Bombyx mori: one gene and its partners. The main gene of each other region encodes a partner of the protein of the gene in region 3 in a complex. Links are inferred from orthologs where the notes say so. Each region holds a gene or a part of one and is shown on either strand. Other genes may lie near its edges.

The links.
Region 1: mediator of RNA polymerase II transcription subunit 9 (region 3) and mediator of RNA polymerase II transcription subunit 16 share a complex: the UniProt entries of both Drosophila melanogaster proteins name them as parts of the mediator complex. The link is inferred for Bombyx mori from reciprocal best matches to the Drosophila melanogaster genes MED9 and MED16.
Region 2: mediator of RNA polymerase II transcription subunit 9 (region 3) and mediator of RNA polymerase II transcription subunit 8 share a complex: the UniProt entries of both Drosophila melanogaster proteins name them as parts of the mediator complex. The link is inferred for Bombyx mori from reciprocal best matches to the Drosophila melanogaster genes MED9 and MED8.
Region 4: mediator of RNA polymerase II transcription subunit 9 (region 3) and mediator of RNA polymerase II transcription subunit 23 share a complex: the UniProt entries of both Drosophila melanogaster proteins name them as parts of the mediator complex. The link is inferred for Bombyx mori from reciprocal best matches to the Drosophila melanogaster genes MED9 and MED23.
Region 5: mediator of RNA polymerase II transcription subunit 9 (region 3) and mediator of RNA polymerase II transcription subunit 4 share a complex: the UniProt entries of both Drosophila melanogaster proteins name them as parts of the mediator complex. The link is inferred for Bombyx mori from reciprocal best matches to the Drosophila melanogaster genes MED9 and MED4.
Region 6: mediator of RNA polymerase II transcription subunit 9 (region 3) and mediator of RNA polymerase II transcription subunit 19 share a complex: the UniProt entries of both Drosophila melanogaster proteins name them as parts of the mediator complex. The link is inferred for Bombyx mori from reciprocal best matches to the Drosophila melanogaster genes MED9 and MED19.
Region 7: mediator of RNA polymerase II transcription subunit 9 (region 3) and mediator of RNA polymerase II transcription subunit 21 share a complex: the UniProt entries of both Drosophila melanogaster proteins name them as parts of the mediator complex. The link is inferred for Bombyx mori from reciprocal best matches to the Drosophila melanogaster genes MED9 and MED21.

Annotation. Positions count from the first base shown.
Region 1 is NC_085108.1:235,074-239,876, reverse strand, and holds the start of mediator of RNA polymerase II transcription subunit 16, read right to left. Parts: upstream 3,167-4,803; 5' UTR 3,011-3,166; coding exon 2,949-3,010; intron 2,511-2,948; coding exon 2,333-2,510; intron 1,595-2,332; coding exon 1,462-1,594; intron 933-1,461; coding exon 803-932; intron 12-802; coding exon 1-11. Other genes in the region: neogenin, read left to right, coding at 3,605-3,689. UniProt on the Drosophila melanogaster protein: Component of the Mediator complex, a coactivator involved in the regulated transcription of nearly all RNA polymerase II-dependent genes.
Region 2 is NC_085118.1:10,645,933-10,650,677, forward strand, and holds the start of mediator of RNA polymerase II transcription subunit 8, read right to left. Parts: upstream 3,125-4,745; 5' UTR 2,424-3,124; coding exon 2,250-2,423; intron 1,946-2,249; coding exon 1,700-1,945; intron 1,113-1,699; coding exon 1,016-1,112; intron 1-1,015. Other genes in the region: uncharacterized protein LOC134199859, read left to right, coding at 3,437-4,745. UniProt on the Drosophila melanogaster protein: Component of the Mediator complex, a coactivator involved in the regulated transcription of nearly all RNA polymerase II-dependent genes.
Region 3 is NC_085116.1:15,850,528-15,854,226, reverse strand, and holds mediator of RNA polymerase II transcription subunit 9, read right to left. Parts: upstream 1,978-3,699; 5' UTR 1,701-1,977; coding exon 1,597-1,700; intron 1,514-1,596; coding exon 1,408-1,513; intron 1,218-1,407; coding exon 1,077-1,217; 3' UTR 714-1,076; downstream 1-713. UniProt on the Drosophila melanogaster protein: Component of the Mediator complex, a coactivator involved in the regulated transcription of nearly all RNA polymerase II-dependent genes.
Region 4 is NC_085107.1:8,820,808-8,824,817, forward strand, and holds part of mediator of RNA polymerase II transcription subunit 23, read right to left. Parts: coding exon 3,891-4,010; intron 3,482-3,890; coding exon 3,037-3,481; intron 2,765-3,036; coding exon 2,558-2,764; intron 2,163-2,557; coding exon 2,024-2,162; 3' UTR 1-2,023. UniProt on the Drosophila melanogaster protein: Component of the Mediator complex, a coactivator involved in the regulated transcription of nearly all RNA polymerase II-dependent genes.
Region 5 is NC_085112.1:8,189,493-8,194,155, forward strand, and holds mediator of RNA polymerase II transcription subunit 4, read right to left. Parts: upstream 2,891-4,663; 5' UTR 2,635-2,890; coding exon 2,567-2,634; intron 2,494-2,566; coding exon 2,313-2,493; intron 2,174-2,312; coding exon 2,022-2,173; intron 1,575-2,021; coding exon 1,396-1,574; intron 848-1,395; coding exon 672-847; 3' UTR 504-671; downstream 1-503. UniProt on the Drosophila melanogaster protein: Component of the Mediator complex, a coactivator involved in the regulated transcription of nearly all RNA polymerase II-dependent genes.
Region 6 is NC_085116.1:16,052,736-16,057,177, forward strand, and holds the start of mediator of RNA polymerase II transcription subunit 19, read right to left. Parts: upstream 3,199-4,442; 5' UTR 2,674-3,198; coding exon 2,493-2,673; intron 2,407-2,492; coding exon 2,035-2,406; intron 1,514-2,034; coding exon 1,353-1,513; 3' UTR 1-1,352. UniProt on the Drosophila melanogaster protein: Component of the Mediator complex, a coactivator involved in the regulated transcription of nearly all RNA polymerase II-dependent genes.
Region 7 is NC_085122.1:11,557,670-11,562,244, forward strand, and holds the start of mediator of RNA polymerase II transcription subunit 21, read right to left. Parts: upstream 2,853-4,575; 5' UTR 1,964-2,852; coding exon 1,922-1,963; intron 1,844-1,921; coding exon 1,565-1,843; intron 776-1,564; coding exon 650-775; 3' UTR 1-649. UniProt on the Drosophila melanogaster protein: Component of the Mediator complex, a coactivator involved in the regulated transcription of nearly all RNA polymerase II-dependent genes.

The DNA of each region.
Region 1 (4,803 bases), on a different chromosome or scaffold from region 3:
AAGCTACGCCACTGTCGGTCCCAACAACATTATTAATATTATTCTTGAATAAAAATAATCTATACTAATAATATTATAAAGCTGAAGAGTTTGTTTGTTTGAACGCGCTAATCTCAGGAACTACTGGTCCGATTTGAAAAATTATTTCAGTGTTAGATAGCCCATTTATCGAGGAAGGCTATATATAAGCTATATAAAATCACGCTAAGACCAATACAAGCGAAGCACCAATAAAGAATATTCCCAAATCGAGGTTTTTTTCCCTTTTGAGAGCTTCCGCTGCGTGCGCTGCGGAAACAGTTAAAGTTTCGCTAAAATAATGTATGACAGAATTGTTCCCCTTTAAAAGACCTAAAAAAAAGTCCGGGACAGCATATGCCTATATGTGAAGGTTGGCTCACCATAATGTTTTTTATGCTAACCAAATTTGTTCTAAAATAAACCATTATTTGTGAACTATTTCACGCGGACGATGTCGCGGTCAAAAGCTAGTCTTGGATAATTGGATAAATCTAATAAGAAGCAAAACAGAAAAAATGGGCTAAATTAGAAACTGATTGGTTAAAAGAACTACCGTTCTAAAGGTGGGTAGACAACATAAAGGCCATTGCAGGTTCTACGTGGAAGAAGAAATGTCACGATCACGACAAATTACATTAATAGTATGTACCTAAATATGCATTAAGATTGTTAATAAAGGTTTCTTTATCTTTATAATTAGATTAATTGTCAGAAACAATAAGTAGCTCTGCAGTCTGTTTTGCACCTACTGAGAGATTGCACAAGCTCCCGATACACTCACCCGAATCCCTTGAGAGTAGGAGAGAACCGAAGCATTTGTATTTTTTCAGGGATAACCGCATCTGATTTTTTATCCACGGCCACCACACGACGTCCATTGTGGAAAAAGGCCCCTTGGATTATGTGTTCTCCTGAAATATTTTGTCATTTATTGACAAAAATGAAAAATAAAAAACAAGAAAACATCTTTATTGATATGGCCTTGAAAAGAATCTTTATTACATGTTTATAACTTATTAAGATCTATTCAAAGAAATATTTTTAAAAGCCACCACTCATCATGAGACATGGGACCAGAGTCATGTTGCAGTGACAGCTATCCCAAACATCAATTGGAGCCACATTATGTCTCATGATAGAACAGACAGGGCGATGGTACCAGAATATGAAAATGTTGACTATCTAAGCGTTTAAATAAGGGCTGAATTAAGTTTGCACTTAGAGAGCCATCTGATCTTATATGTTCTTAGGTACCACAAACAACCCCTATGCATAAATCAATTAAAAAAGTTGACTCAAAATTACATTAAAGATTTTAAAATAGCAATGCATTTAGTGTACGACAACATCAGAGAAGTGGCAGTAGTCGTAATGCTTTAAGATAAACAATTTTACTAAAATAACTAGTTTTGTACTTAGGTAGTTAAATTTTTATCTTACCAGGGAAGTTAGCACTGTAAAGACATGTCCAATCATTGAGGAGGAAGTCTTTCTGTCCATAGACAGACACATCACCCACTGTAGTGGCTACTAACAACTGTTTGCCTTCCAGGTCCCACTCTAGAGCTGACACCTGGAATTTGTATCCATTATTTTATTAGAACATAGTTGCATAAAGAAACAAAGTTGTAAGAGTATTTCCATACAAACTTTTAGATAGCTTAATGTATTTTTCCGAACCTATAGACCGTATAAAATAGTATGGTCATCATTTGAGTATAAAATTTGACAGCAAACTTCAAAATTTTGGCAGCACAGGGTTTGAGAATCACTGCTATAAACTAGTTTTTAGATCATTTTGTTAAATAATTGAAATTGTTGATGTGGATATCAATTATAAGTAAGAAGCATATATCATCACAAATACTAAGTTATGAAGAAGTTACAAATATGAGTAAATCATATCTGTAAATCATGAGTAAATCATATCATAACCACAGTGAAATCAATTACTGTAGATCCTAAAATATTGATAATATGAACAGATTGACATTTGATAGCATTAATGTAGATGTGTGTAAGGTTTAAAGAGTCTCACTGAATATTTCTCCAACATAATGATGGTAGGCAATGACGATCATCTGACACTGTTTATCATCTCCCGTAATTGTTTAACTCTTGGTGAGTGAGCTGGTCTGTTCACTTATGCGAACAAAACCTGGCCACATAGGGTTCTAGTCTACTATTTGATATGGAAACTCATTAATAGTGTTAATACATAAAGAGCTCATTTGGTTGTAAAATTATACCACTTTTGAATAACTGATCTGTATCACATAGTTTCATTATACTTTTACTATTTCACACTTACAGGATAAGCTGTACTTGTAACTTTGTGACTGTTCCATGGGGTATCTAAGTCACATACATACACATGACCTCCCCATGTTGCTCCGTCCACATCACTAAGCTCTGTCGGTGATGAGAATGCTATGATATTTGCACATGATATTGTACATATTGGTCGGACTACTTCAGAGTCTTTTACACTAGAAATAGACAACATTATTAAGCATTGAGTTTATGTAACACCAAGAAACAGAAATAATGTTTTACAAACAGAACACAGAACGCATGGGACTATTTTAAAATACTTGAATTTTATGTAGATGTGATAAGTTCTAAAGTCAGCTCTTTTTATAATATACATCCATGAGCTGAGCAGTCTCCTATTACTTTTCTCCTTAATTTGTTATTTTTATCCTTTTAGTGTTTTCTTATGATGGAAGGCATCATGAACAACGGTAACTTAAAAAATAAGTTGATGTTACTGCCGTTAAAGATATCTTAATTTGTAAACTCTTGTTGCGAGGAGATGGTCACGACCCTCAGTATTGAGGAAACCGAAGCAAGAAGAAGAAGAATTTGTAAACTTTAGTAAATTTGGATAGAAATATAAACTTTTGATATAAATTTAAACTATTTACTTTTCGAAGTGCGGAGGTTCACATTTAAGTGGCTTGCGTCTCATAGAGTATATTAGCTCCATTACAAACTACCGCGGACTGCGGTTAGCGATTTGTGAACGAAATGTTTAATGTTTATTAAAATACGCATGTAAAGCAGGTTGGAAATTTGAAGTTAATAAGATTGCAAAAACTTTATTTGTTGATACCTATCACGTCAGTTTTTAAAATGTGTCAAAATGACAATAACGTTTTATTATTGCTTGGATCTGAATTTATATATTTATTTGTGGAAGTACCAATTGTATGTAACGAATGATAAAAGGATTATACGTATTTTTGGTTGGCACGGATTATATTTATTTTTTAAATGTTTTGTCTCCTAGCGATTTCGAATTTCATATTGTATGTCAGAATTTCCATTGCCAATTCCATTTCTCGTTTGACAGAAATCAACGAAGTGTACTAACTTCAGGGCGCTCCGTTTCGTCCCGGGCAATGCCCTTTCAATATCGAATTGTTTCCGAACGTAAGTGGACATGAAAATGGCGGATCGCGTAGTATCGCTCCGAATTCGTTATCTGTGAACTTTAACATAAATATTTTTGATTTTATGTGAAAATGTGATAGTTATGAATTAAAACCTCTAGTGCAGTGGTCTTCTATTGGTTTGAACCATGTTTCGGACAGGGATCGTAGCTTACGGCGTGAGAAACTGGATATTCTTGTGGCTGTCGCTACATTTGTTTACATACGTTCAAGGTAGGCTCCTTTCATGTAAAATACGGCATTTATTATCGATCCATTGTCTTCAAGTAACTGTGAGCTTGCCTGCACATGCCAAGTTAAAATATTCGAGAACTTTGGCATAAGTCATTTAAAATAAGGAAATTATTTACATTTGGATTTAGTTTCTGAAGCGTTTTATTTACTATCTTGCAAATCTACCTAATTTAAGTTTAGTAAGTATTTATGTCTCTCTGACGCTTTTAGAGCGGTTGTTAATAAAATTTATGAGGATGTGTACGGCTTGGGCGCGGTATATATTTTATTACTTTTGGACTAAAGTTATGAACTTTTAATAGAAAATATGTCTTCTTCAATAATACTTTCTGTTTTACGGTCAAAAGTGAAGTTTTGTTATTTTTAATTATTCTGTTTTTTTCTCTGGATAATTTTATTCGATCCTTTGGATTTTTCTGATTTAACTTTATAATTTTGTACTAGTATTACTACATACATAATTATACTTATCCAACGTCTCGTATATTTTATTAAATTGTAACTTTTACCTGCCTATTTGCTGGTAGTATAAGGGGCTATTCCAACAACACACGGACGGGATACCTATTGTAACACACACTCGACAATTAATGGCTGAAAAAACAAAAAGTATTAACTTTCAATATGTGATCGCGATATATGGGATCTTATGAGATAAAATTATAAATATGTACATATTTTATAAATTAATGCAACTAAAATTGCAATGACTTGAAGTCGTCGTGGCCCAAAGGATAAGACGTCCGTCCGGTGCATTCGTGTCGAGAGATGCACCGGTGTTCGAATCCCGCAGGCGGGTACCAATTTTTCTAATGAAATACGTACTCCACAATTGTTCACGATTGACTACCACGGTGAAGAAATAACATCGTGTAATAAAAATCAAAAACTCACGGGAATAAAGTGTGTCCATATTCCGTGCTCTAAACCGCTGCACAAAGAAATTTTCAATAATAACACTTCGTAAACAGGATTTAGTATCGGGTCGTGCTCGCGTGAATACCGACCGGGCTTTTGGTGATTTTATTGTAGTCGTCAGGGCTCCGCTGTGGGTCGGCCGCCAACTGAGAGAGTTGGCCATTTCTTGGCTAAA
Region 2 (4,745 bases), on a different chromosome or scaffold from region 3:
AAAACATAAACATCCAGTTAACTGTCTCTAGCTGTTCTACTATGGTGTGATTCAGTTCTCCTAAGTCAGTACACATTTTTCAATGAAAAAACTTATCATCATACTTATTTATTTATTTTATTTATTTATACTTATTGTACACAAAAAGAAAATACAATAAAAACAGATTTAAAGAATGTCTAAATACTATGCACAAAGGCGAGCTTAACTCATTCATGAGTTTTCTTCCAGCAAACCATTAGCAGAGAGAAATACAATGTATAAAGAGGGGAATAGTGTACAATACAAAATCTATTAAAGCATGATTTTTAAACTAAGCTTTAAAAAAAAACTAATATGAAATGAAAAATACATATAAACATACATAAAACAATAACTTAAATACACTTTTTTAAAGTGACAGGAAATGTTTCTTCATTTGACTCTTAGAAACTTCTAGAGAGGAACTAGCACAAATAGGTTGAGGGAGAGAATTCCATAATCGCACTGCTTGTATTGTGAAATTGCATTATCATCATACTTGTTTAAGTGGTGGGCAAAATCTTGGGCATCTCTGGTGGGCATCTTTCATCTTTGTCAAAGTAAAGTCATACCTACCTTATATGAACTAATAACTTAGGATATGTGTACAATGGTCAGAATAATCCCACCTGTCTTTTCTGTAGATATTCACCAATGACTGGGGTCTAGAACTGTGAGTAGCTGAGTGTATCCTGAGTCACTGACGTGTATAAGTATTTTTGTTATGAAGAAAACAGGCATGCCAGTTTGAATTATAAGATGCCTGCCTGCCATACAACTGAGACTTCGGGCATGTGTTTTGGGTCAGGTGAAATAAGATAAGCATGTGTGTCTAAATTTTATTGAAGACAAATTGTTTTTCACTACAGTGACCCGCATCTTTTTTCAACCTCTAGAAGTTAAAAATGGACTACATAATATGAATGAAATGTTTATTAAAATCTGTCAACTGTTTAGGTAATTATGATAATTTTCTATTGTAACTTTTACTAACCTGTAGATCTCATTGACTCTCCTTCCCAGTCTTCGCGGCCTTTGGATATAATTTCCCAAACGTGACTGACAACTTTAGTGAATTGAGCAATGTGTTTCTGGAATATAAAACTATTATAATCCATACATCATCCATCTATATAATTGTAGGTAACAACTACACAACATTACATGAGAAAGTGAGCTTGTTATAATTGCATGTCTTAAGTACTCAACTTGATTATCATGCTAATTTTGCAGACAAATCTTGATTATATAAAAGAACTTATTATACATAGTTTAATAGAATTCAATGATGATATGATTGCAATGATACTGAATGATGACCATGACCACCCTGACAAGTGATACAACAAAAAAAAGAAAGAATTGATACATACTTCAACCAAATATCTCAAAGCAAGAGGTTGATTTAACTCTGTGATATCTATGGGTCCCAGCCACTATATCTCAAGTGAGCTGTGGGTTTATTCACTCAACAGTGCATTACATGTTTTAACCCCAAATATATCTATTTTTTTACCGTTTACAATGAAAACTAATTTAGATTGCGAAGTCTACAAAGAATGTCATAAAAAATTAGCCCAAATAGTTATAATGGATATTTTTCCTTGTGGTACATTAAACCTTATGCTTCTTTAAATGTTTCTGATATTTAAAATTAAATGTTAATTATTGTCTATACCTGTGCTGTATCATAGCTTAAAGTACTAGCTTTATGATTAAATTGCTGGAGACGCTGTTCAGCCTGGGGTTCAGGTTTGGTACGAAGTAAATCTGGAACTAAATCATGAGTGCAAGCTGGAACTCTGCCTTCTGTCAAATGAGCCAGTGTTTCATCACGTTCGCAACTTAATTGAAGTGGTAAAACAATTCTAGACCGCAATGAAGCTGCTTGTTCGGCTTGGAGAATTTTACTGAGGCCAGTCAGCTGAAAATAAAGAGTTAATAAAATTTAACTAAATAACACATGATCTTTAAAGTGAAAAGCTTATGTACAAATGCACTTAAATCTGAAAACAAGTCTCAAAATGGGATAATACCTAATAAATATCAGTGACCACGCTAACCAGGTTACATCAAGTGAGTTTTGAACTCGTCAGTTTTTGTTTCACTGTTTTTTCAATAATAAATTAATTATCTTTCCTACTTCAAGTTGAAATCCATCTCTGTAGACTTGTTGACTATTACACACACTATTTATGCTATGAATTTCAATATACAATTGGACTTACGTGACCAGATAAAATCGCGTAATTATCTAGAAAAGTTGGCCAATTTATTGTCTCGTATTCCGTTTCTAGTTTATTTATCAATGCTTGTATTGCAGTTTTTAAATCATTTACTCTATTTAAAATCGCAACTATTGTAGCTTCTAGTTGCTTTTCTTCTCGCTGCTGCATATTCATTGTTGTAAATGGTAGGTACACAATTGTAACTTTTTAATTCTCTTTGTTAGATTTTAATAAGGTTTAGGTACCGTACCTTACCTAGCTATTAAATAACCGTAAGGGACTAAGGGTACATAAGTAATATATCTCAAAATGGTACCATACGGTACCTACCGTACCGTAAAATGGGGCGATTAGGGACAAATTCCAACTTTATGAGCAATTTTAAGGTAGTTGTTGATGTATATAATGCTAAATCAGGATCAAAATGATTGAGTCTTGGGGGCATCTTTGTTGTCTAATTTAAAATTATGCAACTAGCATTCCAGTTTAAGCAAAAAATGCAAAAATAGGTGTAATCCCTATTTACCCGAAAATTGCGGTTAATTGGGACGAAACGAGAAATTTGCTAGGGTTGGCACTACTTTTATTTTTATATATAGTTTTAATTTATTTATTTATTTAGTTGCACCAACAAAGTGATCATCAATAAAAAAAATTGAAAAACTGACAAAAGTACATGGCAGACATCACCTCAATTATAGGTGCAATCGACAGTGCTGATATTTCTATCTGGATTAAGAGATTAGGTGTGTCGGTTATTCCATGGATTAATCAGATGAATACCCCCACTCTGAACAAATATTAAATATGTAGCAAACCGACCGGTACGTCACTCTCGCGGCCGTATGCCCGCTCGCTATACATAGTTAGTATCTATGTCAATCTTGTAACAGTGTATAATCTATGTTCCGGGCGCTTCCGTTTTGAGTGTGAATAGCGTGCGCCCGCGTCTAAATGTAATTATTGTTTAAAAATTGAAAATTGTTTGTTATAAAGGAAGATTAAAATTCGAAATTCGATATTGGTGACTAACCCATAGTTTTAAATACCCCTGAGATCTACCCCTCACTATATCTGGCTGCCCAACGTTTCCTAATTTTTTTCTTGCTTGGACTAACAAAATGGCGCGCACGCTTTTGTGAAAAATTTGCTAACTATTGTATGCTGTTGGTGCTTAATTGTAAAGAATGCCTTTAACTAGAAGTCAAGATCGCCAGCAACGTCGCGAAGACGACGTTATTCCTGCTGCAGATGCAAATGCCAACGAAAATCACGAGGAGCATGATAGCCCCCATGATCGCCCCCACGCCGAATCACGTAGCAACAATTCTACGTTCAACTTGGATGATGTTTCAGCGTTGATGGCCTCGCTGCAACGTTCGCAGGCCGAAACATTTAAGAACATTATGTCGTACGTGATGGAACAAAGATCGTCGACTCCGGCACCTCCGCCGATGCCCCCAGTGAACGTAGATGGTACCTTGGCGCGTTGCAGAGCTTCTTTCAGCGGTGCACCTGGTGAATCTGTTGAGGCCTTTATAGATGCAATTGAAAGTTATACAGAATGCGTTCAAGTATCTGACGCTAACATCATACGAGGCCTAGCCATGCTTTTGTCTGCTGACGCAGCTACGTGGTGGCTAGGATTAAAGCATCACATCTCCACTTGGAACGAAGCCAAAGAAAATTTAATATATGCATATGGCACCCGCCTTCCACCACATAGAATATATTTGGAAATATTTGTTTCCCCGCAGGATAAAGAAAACACAGACAAGTTTGTTGCTCGTATTCGTGCGCTTATGGCAAAGCTACCGCGGGATGATATTGCTGAAAAAGTACAACTTGATATGATATACGGGTTGCTTCATAATAGAATACGCACAAGATTGCGCCGTGAAGAAATCACATCTTTCAATTCATTATTAAACCATGCTCGGAATATAGAAGATTCGATAGAGGAGACTCAATCGAGACCAGTGTCGTCCACTAGTGGTGTGCGTTCGATCCGTGCCCAGCCGGCCCAGGCTGCGAGTCGGCCTGAACCGTGCGCCGCTCGTGCGAGTGCCCCGGCGCCGCGCGCGCGCTTTCCAAACTCCGCCGCGGCCGTCGTGCCCGCCACCGCTGTGCCTGTCGCTGTCGCCCAGCCTACCGTTGCCACGCCTGCCGCTGCTGTGCCAGGTTCTGCAGAGCAATTCGTGACCACGAAGAAACAGCGTCCAGTGTGCTCCTACTGCAAACGGTTTGGACATGCACGGGAACAGTGCCGTAAGTTAAACAACCGAGGTGAGCAAAGTCAATCTAACTTTTCCGAGGGTGTGCAAAATGACAATAATGCGTTTTATAGTGTTCAGTGTAATGTTAATAATACTAACACAATTAGTTCTAATTTACCTGTTCAGAATGCAATGTATGATGTTAAGCAGCATGACAAAAATATTTTTCTGAGTAATTTTGAATGTCAAAATTTTTGTAACCGGGATGCAAATATTAATT
Region 3 (3,699 bases):
ACTAATACTGTGCAATCGCCTTTAAGAATGTAATTCAATCGATAAATAACTTTACAAATATTCGGAGAAGAATCTGTATTAAATGTAAAACAACTATATTTTACTTTTAATACAAAACTATTGCTCTAAAATGACTGGCTGGAAAGTGGCACATACTATTCAAATTAATCTAAAATCTATATTGATCTTTTTATCTAACTTAAAGGTTTTTCTAGTGATTGTTGCATAGTACAATTTAGTAGTTTTACTACCAAGGGTAGAACTCCTGTCGTTTTCTGGGGACGTAGTGACACTGATTAATCTAGACAGCCTCAAGCCATACCGCTAATCCACCTGTCACAATGGGTCGGCATATTTTCGCAAGTTAAATCACTAATAACCTCGAGGTTCTTATAACACTAATTAAAACTCAAGTATATATTTTTACAGCACTAAGCTTAATCTTTTAGGGTCACTTAAAATATTTGAACACTTAAAAATAAAAATTAAAGTTAATGAGATCAGAGTTTTGAATCATCATTGCCTTAACTCTGAAAACCTTATAATCGCAATAAAATTAGTGAAGCTAGCTGCTTTCTAAAAGTAAATATATTTTCAATATTTTGACATTTACAATGAATACCATTGCAATATTGTGATTTTTTCTTAGAATTAAGTAAAGTTTATATTTTTATTGATTTGTTCAGAGTGAGTGAAATAAAAATAGCTCTAACTATGTTACAGTTTTTTATTATCTAATTTAGTAGTTATATTATGTAAAGGACACTACTGATAGTGAATTACAATCAACAGCAACTAATCCATGGTTAGCCAAAAACATCCAAGGAACTATTATTATTTTTTCAGTTGTTTTTTTGCATCCTGTACTCCTTCCTTCAAATTTGCACTGAACCTTTTTAAAAACTCTATAAATTTATTAACTTTCTGTGGATCAACATCAGAGAGCTTTTCCTTCCCTCTGTAAAATACTGAGACAGCTAACTGAGCTGCTCTTCGTACAGGGTAGGACTCTGCAATCTTCTGTACAATTCGTTCATTATTGGCTAAGTATTTAAGCAGCGCACGTAGAGGCATCTTCACTTGAATGATGTCTCAAATGAGCACATATTCCGATACTTCTGTAAGAGTTCACGCTTTAATCTCAGCTGAGTGCGGAGCAGTTCAAATTGCTTCAGCTGGTCGTGTTTGTTGAATTCTATACCTGGGAGCCTCCTGATCTGAAATGAGTGATATATTATTGCAGATAATTGTGTACTGGTTGATGATATATTATGGCAGATACTTGTGTATGAGTTCATGATAAATTTGATTCCTCAAAATACAAAAATTATGCTGACTTAGCATATTATTTTTACATTACAAATGTTAAATACCAAGTATGTTTCCAGTATTTGAAAGTAATCTCACCTGAGCTTTAGCTATTTCTAGCCTCTTTTGTAATTCAAGAACTCTATGACTGCACTCGTGGGACTCGCGTATTTTCGACGCGTTGTCGTGAAAATCTCTCTCCACGCTGTAATAAAAACATTTAAAGCACCAGAAAATACAAAATGAACTTGAGCAAATCTAGTTTGTCTCAAATAATACGCAAAATACCTTCGTATTATATCGTATACAATCGGTAAAAAGTCTACATCTACATCCTCAACAGTCAGGGGACTGTAGTTCGTCTGTTCTGAATGATCTGTGTTGTTTTCCATTGTACAAATTTTAAGCACAATTTTTCACTTGCTTATTATGTAACAGATTTTATTATACGTACGTTGTTTATTAATTTATAAATTTATTAGATTATGGTTATTAAACACATAAACCTAGGTACGTAAAAAAGTAGGTAGATTCTTTACCATCACAAAACCGAAAACGACAAAAATAATGATGTGTTATTGTGTTATCTATGGACAGCAATGGACTATGGACGAAATCGCGGAGAATAAGTCGAATGTTTGTGTGATCGGTGTTCGACAAGCAAAGGAAATAAAGCTCATACACGAAATTTTTGGAACGAAGTTCTTTACGGCAGGCTTGGAGGAGATAGGGATTTTGCTGCACGTCCGAACTGAAAAAAATGTGATAGTAAAACCGTAAGAAAAAGTCCGTGGAATAAAACCGTTAAATAAGACGTGCGCAGGCGCGACAGTCATATACACAAGCGAGTAGTGTATAATACCTTTCTCTTTTTATGTATATTCTTAGTACGATGGCTATACAGTGTCTAATGTATAGTCTACGTGATGACGGTTATTATTATAATTCGTATAAATAGCTGTTTCTTTGTATATTATTATTATAATTTTTTATAAATCATTGTGAATAAAATAAAGTTGATAACTTTGTAATGTAATTATTATTATATTTTTATCAATAAAAAATAAAATAATAAAAATGTATACCTGAATAATTATTTTCTTTAGACCTCGAATAGAACTTGAAATTAATATTTTTATAATAAGGAACTTCGTTCCTATCCGGTGTCCCACGACACCACACATCTTTTTTTTACAAAGGCTGTAGTAATGTCTGTTAAAGAAAAGTAAAATAAAATGAAAAAAATGTTTGAAATAAAATGAATTTGAATGAAATTATATGACCATCGGTGTTTTATGGGACGAAATAAATTAATCAGTCTGAACAATAGTGAGAGTTTACTCGTCACTTAACTTTTTAGAAACGCTTGAAAAACCAAGTTCAACAACTTGGTTCCATTTTCTTAATCTTATCCACTTTCACGAATACGAAACCGTTGCTATTTATTAAACTTGTAGAAACACTGGATTAAGAAAATAGCACAACTCAGACAAGTTATCTTCTCCTATTTCTGCCAAGATTTTGGAATCGACTAAGAAAATAGAAATTTTTTAAACTACTTACCTATCATTATATTCTGCATAAATTTTAGGCCCGACTCTACGAAAGTTTTAAAATTCTACTAAGTTTATTCACGCTGAAGGTAATTGTTTTTACTCAACTAATTATAATATGTGCTTAGTGATTTTAATTAATTAAAAATATATCAATCAGAGGTGCTACGGTAATAAAATACCCCATTCTTTCTAAATCAAGAAGCTCTGTAGTGATACGTTTTAGTATTGAAATCGCATCAGATTTTAAGAACGCCAAATGGCACTTCGAAACATCAGTAGCAGGCTCTATCCGAATCATTTTCTATGGTTCGTACGTATATTAAAATATGAGTTAAGAGTGTGTTGCTGTGTGTTATTTTGTTTCTGACAGGGTATACGAGGAACGAAGTTTTTTTATTTTTTTATTTTTCTATTTAGTGTTTATTCAGGATTAAATGTGTAACTTAACAATAACGGTGGTTTATTAATAATTTAATATCTGTGAAAGTGCACCAATGTGGGAAAATGAAATAAAGCTGCTGGACGTTGCTTCTCGGGATCGTCTAAAAAGTTTACTGAAAAAGTTTCAGTAAATAACCACAATTTTACTGAAATTATATTTCATCCCATATCATCTCATCTCATTTCATTTAATTTTAGGTCAATTTATTAATGTTCCAAATGAATTAATTTCATTTCATTTCATGTCATAACTATTTTTTGTCATAAAAAAAAAATAGCATATTAGGCTGTATGGTATGATACTTTTGCCTTTTTAGTTGGAAAAGTGGAACTACCACTTTGTTTTTGACAGGTGACAGTCTTCGTTAAACAGTAAAGTCAAAATAGCCTAAAA
Region 4 (4,010 bases), on a different chromosome or scaffold from region 3:
AAAATAATAATCCATCATTCAGATTGCAGAGCGTATCGAAGAAACACATATACATACACATTACCGGCCTTCTGGAGCAATCTATTAAAGAGCAGCTGTTGTTTAATAGCTACTAAAAGTTCCCATCGTAAAGTATTGCACAACTGACAGACTAGTCTGAACTGAATTTAGACTATTAAAATGAAACATGAACATATATATACATTTATCCATTCCTATTACAACAAAATCTACCACTAAAAACATCATAGACTTTTTTCATTATTTCTAACATATGTATTATAGGAGATTATAGTGTTCGTTGCGAGTACTTAGATGGTCAAGAGTGACTGATGTTATATCATGATCATAACTTAAAGAATATCACAATGTTTAATAACTATTACTTTCACGGTGTGTAACACATTTTTTTCTTATTAACATAATGCGCTCAATGTTCTCTTTTAAATATTGCCTCGTTTATTTGGCTTTATTTTTATTTCCTTTAGCAAATTCATAATAGACATTTACTTAGCTATTATGACTTTCGCTTACAGAAATAATTATGTTAATTGTGATTAAAATTTATTGCAAAATACAGTATTATTTATCCATGTCCATAAATCTTATATGCATAAAAAAAATATAAATTAAAATGAGCCGGGAATTTTTCTTACTTTTCACTGCTTATTCTTTTCTTTCGCATTTTTTTCTACTGAATGCTTATAACTAAATATCATTTTACACATATTACTTACAGAATAATTCATTAATAGAATAACAGAGTATTTTTTTATTTCGATCATTTAAAACTAGGCATGTATTTTGCTCGACTTACAGTATAACAGTTTTAGTCATTCTACAAAAAATGTATAGTCCTTTATACAGATATTACATTTATATATACAATAATAGCCCTGTCACAATACTAAATACTATAATAATTGAATTATTTAATCATAAAGTCAATTCATTCGTCAGAAACCGAGCCATATTTGGCTAAGAATACCTTCTGTAGTGCTATTTATACAATAAAATAAATAATTGAATTTAGCTATTCTACACATACCTACATGATCAGAAAACTATTCGTATTGACAAACGATACACATACATACACCACATAATAAATTCAGACAATTACTTGGCCTATTACAGGTAATAGACCAGATTAAACATTATAAAATTGTACACAAAATTCAAACTTTAGGCCCTGTACATAAAACTGTATCAGTAAACTTTGTAAAAGTAAAAGTACGTCCTAATTCTTAGCAGAAAAATTACAAAATAGGTACCTACAAACTAGAACTACCTAATCATTTCACATTTTATTTTGATATTATCATACCGTTCTAAATGTTGAATATCTTCTTATTTTGAACTAGTGAAACCCTGCCGAGCATAAATATATGGAAAACACGCATTTCTTAGGGTATACCTGCCTTAACTATCGTACACTGACACACACTGAGAAAACTTTCCATGCAGTAAGAACAAGTATATAAAGTTTCAAATCTTATAAAATCATCAATCTTATAAAAGCGCTAACACATAGATCACGAGCGAACAAGCATACAAACATTATTTTTGGTATTATACAAGTGAAACCCGATCACGCTTCGATGCGACTCAATACTGTTGTATGAAAATAATCTTTCATTAAAACTACTTAAGTGCCATCTGTCGAATGTCGATGATGACAAAAACTTTCCTTGAATTGCTAACAATAACTCTATCTATCTTCAGATTAAAAGATGCGCAAGCGAATAAAATACGTACAATCAAACATATTTTTTATATCCTAAGAAAATTTAATAATATTATTCCTCTTATAATTTTATTTTCTAGCACTTCAAATATTAAACACTTGAACTATTTATTTAAAATTTTCGATTTAATTAATTTGTTCCCCGTGGCATACGAAAATTTTTTGATAACCCCCGTCGTTTCTCTTTCGTAGAATAACAGTGACATAAACACTGTCAGGCTGGTGTCATTCGGAACTCGAACTAGCACTCGACGGAGGGCTATTATACTCCTTATGCTAGGCGGTGTTAATTTGTTCAACATTCAAGTGCGTGATGAAGCGCAGACGCATCTGCAGCGCCGGTCGCAGTTTACGGATTACGTTTTCCACTTCGTTCTTCAATGTGTCGCCGACGAACATATATTTTATATGATATCTAGAAAGGTGTTGAGGAAATAAGACGAGTTAACCACAAAAAATATTAGTTACTGGCGGTAGGACCTCTTGTGAGTCCCCGCGGGTAGGTACCACCACCCCGCCTGTTTCTGCCGTGAAGCAGTAATGCGTTTCGGTTTGAAGGGCGGGACAGCCGTTGTAACTATACTTGAGACATTAGAACTTATATCTCAAGGTGGGTGGCGCATTTACGTTGTAGATGTCTATGGGCTCCAGTAACTACTTAACAATAGATGGGCTGTGATCTCGTCCAGCCATCTAAGCAATAAATAAAAAAATAAAAAAAATATCAACACGCATGTCGTGTTAAATTATTTAATTCGTTTCGTTAATTAAATAATTGGCAATTGATGAGTGATTTTTTGTAAAGGATACAGCAAGTCGCAAATCGGATCCATATATTGAAGATGCGTCTGTGACTTATCGATGTGAGCGAGTAGTTCATACAAAGTTATAGTTATGTCCATCACTGTCCGCGGTAGATCGGAATTAAATCTCTGTAAGAACGGTCCCACCATGTGGCACAAGAAGAGCATTTGTGTTTCCGTGTGTATTTCAACAGCCAGCTTCTCTTTTACGAAACTGAAAGAATAATTATTCATTATTTTGGCGGGTAGTCATCATACAACTACAACAACAACATCAAGATATTTGACAGATGCCTGAATCTAGCTCACGTCATTTTCAAGATAAGTTTCCACATATACAATTTCCAAACAAAAACATACGGACCGTCGATTTACCGAGCAATATCATCCGCTCGATGGAAGATCTTCCCAGCGTCGCTTTAAGCCTTCCAAAATTATACTTGAAACATGCAAACAATTCACAAATTTAATACATTAAATACTCACATAGGCACTTGCATAATTTGCCCTGCGCCGGCATGGTACCATATGGCATGCGCGCAAGCCAATGTCAAACTATATTTGTTCTCAAGCATCGCGTCACTTGTGGTTGCTAAATTAAACAGCTGGAAAGGTGAATATGGATATGTCCATTCGATCATCTCACTGCTAGTCGTAAGTTCCAAAAGACGTTCGTGCAGAACCGTCCAATACGGGTCCGGCAAAGCCGCCATTATTAAGCCAATAGCGTTGATCCAAAGCTGTAATTTCGTGGTGGGTATTACGACGAAACCTTTTGTGATCACATCGAGTAAACTGTTCCCCACGTAATTAGGCGCAACTGGTAATGACATCAACTCGACACAAGTTACGTACAGGGCGTGTGCTGACGGATTTGGGTATTCGTTGAATCTCCAGTCAGTATTTGGAAAGTGAGAATTACCCATCATTGCTGAGATAAAATTAAGGAATTAAGTATTTTACCATGATAAAAAAAAATTGTCGTTCTCTATGTGCAATACAAAAAATATTTTGCGATATATGTATATATGCGATTAAGTGTTCAATATGTTTACAGTGATTATGTCGATTTCCTAAGCGCCTGGATTGCCTAACTTTGACTTATTTTGTTTTCAATGTATGTTTTAGTCTTTTAGAAATAGATTAACTCTCAGTATCTTTGGATTCGTGATACCCAGAGTCTACTAGGTATTCTGGGGACTTAGTAACAGTAATCGACATAATTACTTCAATGCACCACGTAGGGAACCGATGACCACTGTGGCAGTAAAAGGGTTAAGGAAACAACTAAAATAGTATTTTACTATATTTTTGTTTTGTTGTCTTATGGAAAAGGATACTGTCCACCATTCTATTGACTAAACTCAGATAATAATTAAGATCTGGAACCCACGTAGTGTTATCATACTCCGTGTTGGCCAGAAAATTTTGCAGCGTTTCAGTGGCGGCCCAGCCGGCGG
Region 5 (4,663 bases), on a different chromosome or scaffold from region 3:
GCAGAAATACGCAGGGTGGTGGTACCTACCCGCGCGGACTCACAAGAGGACCTTCCACCAGTAATAAAATAAATGTTAAAGTACTAAATCCTAGGGGCAATAGTATCCGGACTAAGTTGTCTTAAAGCTCCAAACACTTATACAACTCCTATGAGTAGTATTAGTTGTAATATATTCCGGTGCTATCGGGCCTCGTGATCGTTGATATATTTTACCTACCCATTCGTTGGTAGCCTAAGGGGCTATTCCAGGAACGCGCGGACGTGTATGAGTTCACTGGCTCCACCTGAGAGAGTTTGCCAACACTGGCCCTGGCAAGAGCAATGTTTCGTTAAAACCTACAGGATCAGAATCGCAACCCACTGAGAAGAACTGACGAGAAACTGTTTGGGTTATGTCAACAGGCTAGTTCGCACTTCCAACTCTTAATCGCAGAGTTCGCGTGCATAGATATCGAAAAATAAATTTGGAGGTTAAATTTTTGTTCAAATATAACAAAACGATTATGTGGAATAAATTTTTTTATTATGTCATTTCTATGAGGATATTTAAATAACATTTGAATTAATTCTACAAATATTTTTTTCATAATAAACACAAGCATCAGTCTTTTTAACTTGTTGAGTTGCACTACACTTTTAATCAAAATGAAGTCCACGGTTTTTCTGTATTCATTGTGAATCACTACTTGAACTTGAACTGGAGTCTGTGGACATAACTTCAACATCTTCTTGGTTGGGAGCATCCTTCCCTCGGCCATCAATAGCTACAGAGTTACCGCCTCCAACAGACATGTGTAGCTCGCCTGATGGATGCCAAGTGAATTGGCTTGAAGCTGAAGCTGGTACTGAAATAATATAACACAGTAAACCTGATTAACAAGCAAATGGTTTTACATGTTTTTTTTACCTAATGCAATTAACAAAAGGGTAAAATGTTTCTGTAAAATTCTGATGATAAGAATATTCTTAAATAATTTCCATGGGTTATGGGTTTTGAAGGAAGCCTCTGTTGACAATATTAATAAAAAGAGGTGGCAATAACATAGGAGATTTTTTTTATTCTTTACAAATCCTATAGAAATTTGATCATTAATTCAACTTTCCTGAAAAATATTATTCTTGTATATTTGAGTTTAATACAGTGGTCCAAAACATGATATATCTGCCAAAGCACTTGCTGAGTAGTTTAGGTGTTTGGTGTTCCCTATCACCCACTTCTCTCATAGCTATTAATAACTATGATAATACATGCTTATTGTAGATGAATCAAATTAACTATAACGATAAAGTACCAATACTAGAATTGTATAAATATGTACTGCACAAAGAGTTCTATACATATGCAACTTGTTCTAAGAATGATTCATTAATATAATGAGTAATGCATTTATACCTCCACCAGTTGTTATACGATGAAGTTCATTCAGTGTAGAAGGCGTGTGACCATTCAATGGCAGATCACAGAGGCGACCGAGCATTCCTAATCTCATTTCTAAATCAGTTGGATAAGGCCGACGAGGATCACCAGGTTGCCACGACAAAGGTGCGCTGACAGCATTAGATGCACTTATTCTGTAAAATATCAGTAAGTCAAAAAAAGTTTTTTTAAGTACTATTTAGTTCTCACATCAAAAATAGTGTACTGTCTAATATTTAAAAATTCTTTTTAATGTAATTTAATTAAAGTGTAACTCTATAGTTATGAAAGAAACTGTTTTCTGTAGATAGTTATTTTCATAACATTGTTGGCTATTCAGACACAATACCTAATATCCATTCAGACTTTTTGCATTAATAAACTTAATCAACTGTTAATATACTAAACATCTCATTGATTTATTTGTTAGTCAATGTGCCTACTATCATTGTCTCACTGTTGTCATTGGTCAGGTTTGAAATCTCTGTTGAGATCATAAATATTTAATATTCAATATTTAGGAGTACTCATCATGTGTTTTAAGGACCTGACTCAGAAAAAATATTTAATTTCAATGTAGAAATCTTTAATTGTTTACTAACCTGTGTGCAAATTTGATCAACTCCTCAGAGGGTACAGGTCTCTTTCTAGACTTCACTATTGATGCAAGTTTCTGTCGAGCTTGATACAGTGATGTAGCCAGAATTTGTTCTGCATCTTTCAATTGTCTTTGAAGGTGATATATATCTTGATCCTTAGTAACACAACAAAAACATTTCAATTACATAATTCGCTTGTGGCTTAAATTGTTGTGAACTAGCAGTGGATGAGTCAGTCCACTCCAAAATTTTATCCATTTTTTACTTAAAATAAATCTCTTTTGTAGTATTTACCTTACTATCTACTTCAGCTTTGAGTTCATTCATTTTCTGTTGGATCTTTGCTTGTTCGTCAGCTAGGTCTAATGTTTTTTTCAATTCTCCATGTTTTGATAGAAGTAGGTCCGTCAACTGAGCATGATCTGCAGCGGACACTTTCTGTGGTTTTGGTGCTATGGAAACTTCTATTATTTCCCTGAAAATTTAAAGAATTAGAACATGAAGTTGATCGGTAATGTTTTCCACAGTTCAATCGTGTTTTAACTCACTTAGCAATAAGTTCGATATCATCTATTAGTGCCAATAAGCGATCTTTAGTACTTAAATGTGACGCCATAGCTCTATATAGCTTAACAGCTTTTTTTAATATAAACGATATGTATTATTTCCTTATATCATATGAACTGGACAAACGACCCCCCAACGCTGCGACTCTTGGGATTTCTTGTATCAAAAACGCTACTATGTACGTGGTAACTACATTCAATGTTTACAGTAAAAATAATAACATTGTTTGATGTTTCCAATACAGCAGACGACAAACGTGAAAGTCATAGACTATGTTCCACAGCAAGCACAGACTAATAATTAGTAGAGCCTTGAAATATTTTTCTCTATGATATAGAGAAACTTATTCTCGTACTTTTACAGTTTTTCTAGTTTTAAAGTGAGTTTCAGTATAATTTATATCTACAAACTTTGTTTTATAAGGCCGTAGCCTATTTACGTTATAAGAAATAAAATAAAATTTACTACTGGTAACGAGATGAGATGATTTACTTTTTCTTATGAAGATGGGTGAATGACCTCAAGGCCTATTAGTAGTTACCGGAGCTTAAAGACATCACAAAGTGATTGCTGCCCCCAACTTTAACTTCACTTTTCTATTTTACACTATAAAGTGTGTTCCACCCTTTAAATCAGAATGCATGATTACTTGGCGGCAGAAATACACAGTACGCTGGTACCTACCCATGTAGAGTATTGTAGAGTCTAGTTATTATGATATGATCTCTCAGTAAAATCGTGTTTATTTCCTGAGACGTTAATTGAAAGACTCCGAAAAACCACATGTAGCGATTTCGTTTCATTTTTCTACCCGTTGTGCACTTTCATGAATTTGAACATCGTTTGGTCATCATTCATCGTTCTCGTTGAACCCATCGCTTGCGACGAAGGCTCGGCTAGTAAAATAACCCACAAATAAAGCCCACTGAATTTCTCGCCGGATCTTTTCAGTGGGTCGCGTTTCCGATCCCGTGGTAGATTCTGCAAAGTATTGCTCTTGCTAGGGTTAGTGTTAGCAACGTCGTCAGGTTAGATCCCCGTGAGCTCACCTACTTAATAAGTTACACTGACATAGCTCTCAAGCTTAGATAAAAAAAAACCATTTCACAGGTTCAGAATATTTGTCAGAAGAAATACAATATTGGTGTAATAAAAATATTCTCAAAATAAAGGACATCTGATTCCATCAAAATTATTGAAACACTGCACAAAAAAAATTATTCTATTAATTATTAGACTTGCGAATACTGAAAAAGGATTGAAAGATTGTGATATTGATTGTTATGGTTTATTTATAATTCGTAATTATTGGCGGTATAGCGTAGGTTGTAGATACGTATCTACGACCAAGCTTCCTATTATTGCCACCTACCAGTTATTCGTTTCGGTATAAAGGGCAAGATAATAGACAAAACAGTTGAGACTTCGAATCCTTAATTCAATCAAAATGGATGGTTACTTACACGCTGTGATGCTCATATTATATCTTCCGATAATCAGTCAATACGGAGTTAAAGAATGGTGTTGTTAGGATGTCTTGTGAGTCCGCACGGGTAGGTACCACCATCCTGCCTATTGCTACCGTGAAGCAGTAATGCGCTTCGGTTTGAAGGGTGTGGCTGACGTTATACTGTTAAAACTGAGACCTTCAAACTCATGTCTCAAGGTGGGTGGTGGCATTTACGTTGTACATATCTATAGACTCCGGTAACCACTTAACACCGAGTGGGGCGTAAAGCTCGTCCAACCATCTAAGCAATAAAAAAAATATGTTAGATTGCATTTCACGAACTTGCAATAGGAGAACTTACAATGCAAAAGCAGACTTGCCTTGCACTCTCTCGAGATCATAAATTTCGGGCTTCAGTTGATTTATTGCTAGAGCTCCGTACAAAAAAATTTGCTAAAATTCATAAAAATAGATTCTCATTTTTAGTGCTATTGTGTTAGGAATTACTATCAATAACACCTGTCTTTATTTTCCCAACCGGTTCCAATACTCCTTACTTAATAAAGTTATTAATTATCCTTTACTTCATTTAAGAATATGTCAAATAAATACTCGTAATCATAACAGG
Region 6 (4,442 bases), about 200 kb from region 3:
GCAATATTTTTTCGTCTGCAGCTACCTACACAGGTGTGTTTTATTGTATTCTAAATAATAATAAAAAAAAACATTAAATTTAGCTTAACTTGGTAAACAGAACGATTTTCTTATAACAAATTCTTAAATATTAATTAAATACATTACTTTGAGTCGAGCCCAAAGAGATGGAAGAGACCTCATGGAATTCAACAGTAACAATATTTTTGTTTTAATGTCACTCTGTGGGCAATTCGCTCAGAAATTTAATTCTTAATTAGTAATATTTTTTAATAAATTCCTAATGTTTGCATTAGAAACATTTGAGAATGATGTGATTATTCTTTCAAAGTGGTCAACTTAACACAATGTTGCTTGCCATCATGGCATTTTAACTCTATTAGGTAACTTAGCATAACAAAATCTTATTAAATCTACCATGCAATCGAACCTGTTGAAAGCCAAGTAGAAGTTACTAGAAATCTTAAGTTCAGAATCAAAAGTAATTACTATGAAGTAAAGATAATAAATTAGCTATAAGTTTAAAACATTGCCTGACTAGCAATTTTAGGTATTTCATAAAAACAAAAGTCTTGCAAACCTCATTTTTCTTATTATGGTTTAAAATGTGATAAAAAACTTCGTTTTTTCTTCATTTTATGGACATATACACCCCATTGAATAATGAAGAAATATAGATTCAGATAAATCTACTCTTTTTTTTATTTTATTGCTTAGATGGGTGGATGTAACATAAATGCAATGGTCTCAAGTATAGTTACAACAGCTGCCCCATTCTTCAAACCGAAACTTATTACTTCGGCAGAAATAGGCGGGCTGGTAGTAGCTACTCATGCGGACTCACAAGAGGTCCTACCACCAGTAATGACGCAAATTATAATTTTGCAGGTTTGACTTTTATTACAATGTTATTCCTTCACTGTGGATGTCAATCGTGAACATTTGTCAAGTATGTATTTCATTAAAAGAATTGGTACTTGCCTGGGATTCGAACACCAGTGCATCGCTTAACACGAATGCACCAGACGTCTTATCCTTTAGGCCACAACCAATTGTATGTTATTCTTCTTGTGTTATTATACCATTCAACCAATTGAGGAAAACTTTCCACTTTAATGAAATGTTAACAACATTCCATCGTATTACAATCAACTTATGATAGATAGCACGTGTAGTTTCAACAAATGAGTGCCGTTCATACATTTAGTCATATGCACAACAAAGTGTAGAGGTACATTTCACTAGTAATGGAATATCACTAGAACACAATGAATTACTAATTTTTAGTCATCTTTAGTACAATACTCTCTTTGGGCTCATTATTCGACTTAAACCTACTTGTACACTTATATTTACGGTAATGGATGTTGGTTTGGTGTAAGGCCTCCATGCTCAGGGCTGTGTTTTTGCTTTTTTCTCTTTTTCTCTTTTTTTCTCTTCTTTCGTTCTTTCTCATCGTCATGACGTTTTTGCTTCTTATGCTTTTTCTCATATGTGTCTGGATTTGATGAATCTAGAATAATAGATATGTTTTATATTAAAACTCAAGACAAAAATGGAGTATAAATAATATAACTTATAAAGCAATTTAAAAAGTATCACTTGACATCTAAAGTTAAATGAAATCATTGTGGCCTAAAGAATAAGACGCCTGGTGCATTCATATTGAGTGATGCGACTGTGTTAGTGTTGGAATCCCGCAGATAAGTACCATTTTTCCTTATGAAATATGTACTTGACAAATGTTCACAATTGACTTCCACAGTGAAGGACAGTGTTGTAAACAGACTCACTAAAAATAATTGATAGGGTGTCTTCTGAGCCCGCACGGGTTAGTACCACAAAATGTAAAATGCAGAGTACAATTACACTGCAATTCAAATACTGTCTTAACTAGATTAATGTAGTCAAAGTGCCTGGAAGACTCACCTAGACCTAAATAGCATCTACAGGTGGCTAATTTGTAATATTGTCTACAAGCTTGGGACATAGCTAAATCTATTAAATCAATGTTGTTGAGTTCTGAGTTCTTACCTTGTAAAGGTGTCTCTTGCCCAGGAGGTGCACCATCTTTATGCTTATGTTTCTTATGTTTGCTTTTATGTCGCTTTGGTGGTGTTGCACTCACATATCTGTACTGCTCAGGAAGTGGGCCAGGGTGTAATCGAAAACCTGCCAACTGAGCACTAGTTAATGGCAGTAATTCTTTACCACCAATTGGTCTCTTAGCTATAACTGAACTTAGAGTACTGTTATCGTCCTGCCCAGGTCCGTCAACGATGCCCGGCAGGTTCGGAAGGAAAGATGATAGGGATTCCTTCAGCTTTTTGCCATTAAACTTACTGTAAGAATGTACAAGTCCATAGTAGGCCATTAAATTTGTAGCGCCTGTCAGTTCACATTCTCCTGTAAAAGAAATCGTCGAAGTCACTTCCTGAATATAATTATTTAAGAATTTGAGAAGAGAATGTTAAAGAGTTGGAGATACTGACCCGGGGGTTCTTTCATCAAATAGAATGGTCCGCTGTGCACTATAGACGGGTTTTTGCCTAAGGATATAGTAGTTTTGAGTGTACCAGAAGAATCTTGGCGAGAGACGACTGGTGACCTCGCACCCCTCGGCGACGATTTTGGCGAATATGGTTCTACTTTCCTAAACTGATCAGACATCATCTTGGATGACCATTATCTACGAAACGAACTTAAATAAATTAAATACTCTAAACAAAATCACAAAAAATTAAAAAGACCTTCCCTACTCCCAAGCTTTTGACAACTCTAAAAAATAAAAGTAGGAACAATGTTGCAACACTTTTTTTTTAAGGGAACTGAGACCTTTAAGTCATGTCTTATTTTAATTTATATTCAATTTTTATGAAAAATAATATTATGGAGTGAAATAATGAAGACGACTAATTTGAGATATTAATCAACGGGATGAAATTAAATGAAATGAAATGGGATGAAATATAATCTCAGTAAAATGGTGGTCATTTACTAAGATTTTTTCAGTGGACTTTTTGGAGGATCCCGAGAAGTTACGTCCAGCGGCTTTGTTTCATTTTTCCACATTTGCGCACTTTCACAGATATTAAACACTTAATAAACCACCATTATTACACATTTAAACCCGAAGAAACACTAAATAGACAAAATAAAACAAATCACACAACTTCACTCCTCACGTTCCCGCCAAAAAGTCCTGTTGCAACACTAGCTTTGTAACTCCCACAGACTCTAATATTGTTATTTAAAGAAAATCATAACAATAGGTACATGGTTTTGTTGGTTCTCAAGAAATTTATATTTAAATTAAATACTAGCAATTCTCAAATTAAAATAGCAACTGTCTAATTAAAATAGACTTGTTTTGAATTAGTTGAAATAGTCTATTATAGTTCTGACACATAAGCACTTGGAGCTTCCGTGATAATTTTGTATGGAAAATGAATTGTGATGTCTATGAGCTTTGAAAACACTTTAAAACTGGTCCAATGGTGTTGGAGTTTGAATATGTAAGTAATGGCAGGTAACACTTGACACATGTAAGGTTACAGTTTTCGAATATTGAAATGCTTATTTAAATATTTAAAACAGATGAGTCTTCTCTTGAGTGAGGACAATGGCTTCTCTTCTAGACACGGACTATGCAACATCTTAGGGTTTTATAAAATAAAATATTGTAATGGTGTTATATATTAACCATGAAGCAGAGTGTTTTTAAATAGCCCCTCACCTACAGAACCCAGTCCTCTCAAATTTAACCGTCCAACAAAAGGTCTCGGTAACAGGTCATACAATCTTTAAAAAATCCACTAAACAAGAAAGCATGAGCTCATTCAAACTTTGAAGCAGTAAAAAAATCAAACATTCTTATTGAAACAAATGCTTAGGCTTTTTTTTTTGTTTAAGTCGTCCTGGCTTAAACTATAAGACGTCCGTAGGCTTAGTGCGAGTTTCAAAAATCGAATCGAATGACTCGCATCGAGTGTACGCTCTTCACGGTGAAACGTGCGGAGCTCTGAGTGCGAGTTACTTGATTTGCAGGACGTTTATTCATTTTGAAAAGCGATATTTTTTTCTTTTATATTGGTAGCACGCAAGGTTTTTTTTAAGGCGTTTAATTGAAATGCCAAGCTTTCTAACGATATTTATAATTAGTCGGGTAATGGGTAATGTACCTGTGCTTAGTGCAAGTTTTTTTAATTACTCAGTCGATGTTAATGTTATGTTTATTTTGTGTGAGGTTGTATCAGTGCCACCTAGTGGTAAGCTTATGAATCTCATTTTGTGGGAGAGAGAAGGTTTGTTTATGTTGCTGTCTCATGTATCAAATAGCTTTACCGAAGTGAGCCTCTCGATTATTGTATGTGCGAGTGCGAGTTGCAAATTAATGGATTTTGAGAGTATTTCTTCACTTTCAAGCAAGTTAAGTAGTCACT
Region 7 (4,575 bases), on a different chromosome or scaffold from region 3:
CCTTTAATTAAACATAATAACTTAATTAAATTAATTAAACATAAAACATAAATATTTTTTAATTTAATTAAAACTCATGTTCATCATTGAATACAATCACCTTTACTTTTTCCTTGTGTTCATTTTATTTTATGTATATAGATGAACGAGTTCATCTAATATTAAGAGATTAACATAGCCCAGAGATCCCAGTCATTGCCGCCACTCATCTCAAAATCATCATCAACAACTAACCTGTGCTTCAAAACTGGAAAACAACGGCTTTACAGTATGTATAGGCAGAGTGGCGGTACCTACCCTTTCAGACTTAAAGTATGCCTTACGTAATAATAGAAAATAATGAATAAACAAGTCATGTATACTTAACTATTCAATTATAACAAATGATTACTTAAAATGATATATGTCATACCAATGTTTTTCTTATTATAGTTTCAAAAATATGACATTCAGACAATTTAGTTTTCACCGGCATGAAAGCCCTGTAACAAATTTGCAAACAACAAAAAAAAATCTTCGTCATTAAGCATTAAGATTTCAAACACAAAATTTTAAAATTCATATAATACTAAAATACTTCCGTGTATTCTTGTTTTAACGTATCCTTTTGTAGAGGAAACTACCGTTGGTAGAACCCCAGACCCCATCCCTATAACTGTGGTTTCACATCCTTGTTGAGGATCAGAGCCGGATTCTGCATGTCCAACTGGCACTGAGCAATATCACTCAGAGCACCCTGAATCTTCTCTAGAAGAATCTCTCCTTGACGGACTACCTGTAGAATTATTAAATATTGTCTGACATTATTATTAACGCTAATGAAAAGAGAGTAAGTCATGTGTAATTATTTTCATATCGACGCTTGAAAGGCAAACGTGACTAAGCGACAATAACTGCTTTATACATGATAGGCAATAACCATATTCAATGCCAAAAAAAATATATTTCTAGGTCTATTAAAATCATTTCAATCCTACAGCTAGTTTCGTTAAAATAGAATTTTTTCAGGTATTTCATCTTGAAATTAGTCTACTGTGAAGTTCACGCATTGTCGCTTAGTCACGTTTGCCTTTCAAGCGTCGATATGATTACTTCCAATATTTCAAATACTATAAGTTTTTGTAGTCATGGCAATCTAAAACATGAGATTAATCTGTAAACACCCTATGGGTTTTGAAAATTGAATAAAGTAATATTCGCTGATACAATTCCAGTGTGCCATCTCAAAATGAAGTTAAGGAAACAACTTTAACCAAATCGCTATTACTGTCAATTTTATCTTAAGTAGGTACTAATTTATGTTTAAATATTGGTGCTTGTTTACATTACAAAAGTTGACTATAGACAAAATACAATGTCTGTAATACAAATACTTTCTTGGAATATTTGATTTTACATTCAAATGGCAATACAAAAGCAAACTGCATGGCATAATTACTTCTTTAAAATCATTATTTTAATGGTTTAGTTACATGATAATTCCCAATTTATGATAAAAAAGAAAGCTAGTGTCCTTTGAGATAAATTGCACGTGTATTGGGCACGGAGAGTTGACAGCCCTTACCTCTTCAAGTTGCTCAGCAGCCTCCTTGTTCTCGGCCTCAAGTCGCCGAAGGCTTTGCACTTGCAGCTCAGTTGAACTCTCTTCACTGGGCAAAGACTCGATGAGCGTGTCAATGTCCTTAGCACAACGAGAAATTAGAGCCGCGAATAAAACCGCATAATCCTCTTGACTCTGCGGTTGTTGAGGAGTCTGAGAACCACCGCGTTCGAAGCCTGGGAACTTGCTAGGCAACGAGAACTGCTGTAGAATTCCGATGCTGTTACAAAAATTCTCAGCTTGCTACAAATAAATAAATACAACGTATGTGAAATGTATTAATGTCAATTAAAACGAAATGTTCATTTTTGTCATACGTACTTGGTTTATGGTATCTTGAAGCTGAGTTAAGCGATCAGCCATTATTCAATTCAGATATTTATCCTACTAACCACTGTTAAAATTTAATCCTTATATGGATATTTTCTATGGAAGGTGGTTTTAAGCTACCTACAGTATCAATTTGTAAAACTACCTTTTGAATGAAGTTATTTGAAGTTGAACGTTATGACGTTTTTAAGTAATATTTCCAATATTTCCAGGTGGAAAGGCGAAGATATCACACACCATACATCCTAGTCTTTTGTATGTACATTCTATTCTCTTTCATGAAAAATGATCATATGGAGCGAAATGAAATAAAGTTGATTCATTTGAGACATTAATCTAAAATCCAAATAACTTGAAGTTCTGTAAGGAAACAATTATATTACGATCGTTTAACTTTGGCGTGCAGCAAAACAGTACCTAATTTGGAATAGTAACGCCATTTTAAGCCAGAGATCTTTTTTGCCACGTACCATACGGCTTTGGAATGAGCTCCGCTCCACGGTGTTTTCCGAGCGCTATGACGTATTCTTCTTCAAACGAGGCTTGCGGAAAGTACTTAACGGTAGGCAGCGACTTGGCTGTCCCTGGCATTGCTGAAGTCCATGGGCGATGGTAACCACTTACCATCAGGTGGGCCGTATGCTCGTCTGCCTACAAGGGCAATAAAAAAATACATTTAGAACTGCAATCATTCTCATCAGTATTAAAATTTAGAAAACCATTTCTCCGTTATATACATTATAAGCTAAATAGTAATGTTGCTAATAACAGGACCACTTGACGTTTCGGTTTGAAGGGTGGGGCAGCCGTTGTAAGTATACCTTAGAACTCATATCTCAAGGTGGGTGACGGTATTTACGTTATAGATATCTATGGGCTCCGGTATCACTTAACACCAGGTGGACTATGAGCTCTTCCACCCATCTACATATAAAAAAAATTAAAAAACTTTAATTATAGGCAATGAAATGAATTTCAAAATTTCCTTTATTTAATGTAAGCAGTGTACACAATAGGTAACCATAATATTACCGACTAGAAAAACATCACAATTATTGAGTATTTAAGTATAATAAAAAACCATTAATGAACCTCTTTCATTTCAGACCTTAAACGATTATTTTTAAATTTTAGTTATTCAATGAAACAACATTAACAATAAGCTGGATTCACATTACGGATATAACGAGGTTGTGTGTTCAAACATGTTATTGTTTAATGACTACTACAACTATTAGTCTAATTCAATCTAAGGCAGCTGTGCTATAGTAAAATTGGCAGAACTTTACTAATTTGTAAAAGTTTTCCGTTTTTCTTTTCGTTTCGTGTAAGCCATTTTTTTTACAATCAACAAACACCTCCTGTCGCGCAATAAGTAAATATCAAATCCTCGCGTCATTTTTGTAACAACTAAAATTCATCAAGAAGTTGCGTCGCAGTGTGTGTAGGCTACCGAATAGGTAGGAAAAAAAACTTCCATCACCGCTTTCGCGCTATTCTCGTACGAATTAACAATAAAAGACTAGATAGCTTTCAGCCTAACCTGCACTCTTTAAAAATAACTAAGCATTTGCGGTATCACATTTTTATGATAGAAATCCGCCGTTATCGAATTTAAATTGCTTAGAAGTCAACAATGAAAATTGCTAAATTAGATTTTTGAGTACTGTATGTACATACCCAACATAGCATCTAATTTTTTTATAAATTAAGTACAAAACTTTACTAATAACAGCAATATGAATATAATTCATTAGCATAATAATATAGCAAATAAAAATTCCCACTTTTTTTTGAGTACCTAACTAAATTATCGTTTGTAAAGTAAGAAAGTGAGCGCAGTTGGTTGAATAAACTAGCACTCGACGCATGCGCATTAGTTTTTAATTTTTAAATAGGGTAAGTTTGTCTACCGCCATCCTTGTCTGACAAACGATGTTACGCATTAACTCTCTCACTCTACTTTGGATCTAGGTTTCCATCTTTATCAGCTAGCAACCCCCGTTTGCGGCCACATTTACAAAGACAGAGGTTTTAAATTGTGCACAGAAAAAAAAACACACACACACAAAACCTCGTGATTGTTATTAAAAATGTTTTAAAACAATTTAGATAAATTGTTTGAAAACTTCAAAGCTTCACACTATAGTACCAAAATTATTATCAAATACCTTAAAATTATAGATCTATTCTCAATTTATTATCAAATTTTATGCATAAATATAGTTATAAACATAGCAACAAGTAATGACTATTTACTAAAACTTTTAAAAAATCACACAATGAAATAGTTTTAACAATTCACAATTAGTTTTGTTAGAGAGCATCACAAAGCTTAACTTTTCATTTAGAATCAAGTGCAAACAATCATGCTAAGTATTGGATTTAGCTATAATTAATAAAATTTTCAATCCTCATTAAAGCTTTACACTCTGAAGGGCAAGCACGAATGACTATCGAAAAAGTATTCGTATCTCTATCGAGAAAAAATAGATAGGATTTAAACAGTGCCCCTACTACCGTCCGTTAAAGGAATTAATCTATACTTTTATACTTAATACTTCTATACTAATATTATAAAGAGGAAAGATTTGTTTGTTTGTTTCGAATAGGCTCCGAAACTACTGGACCGATTTGAAAAATTC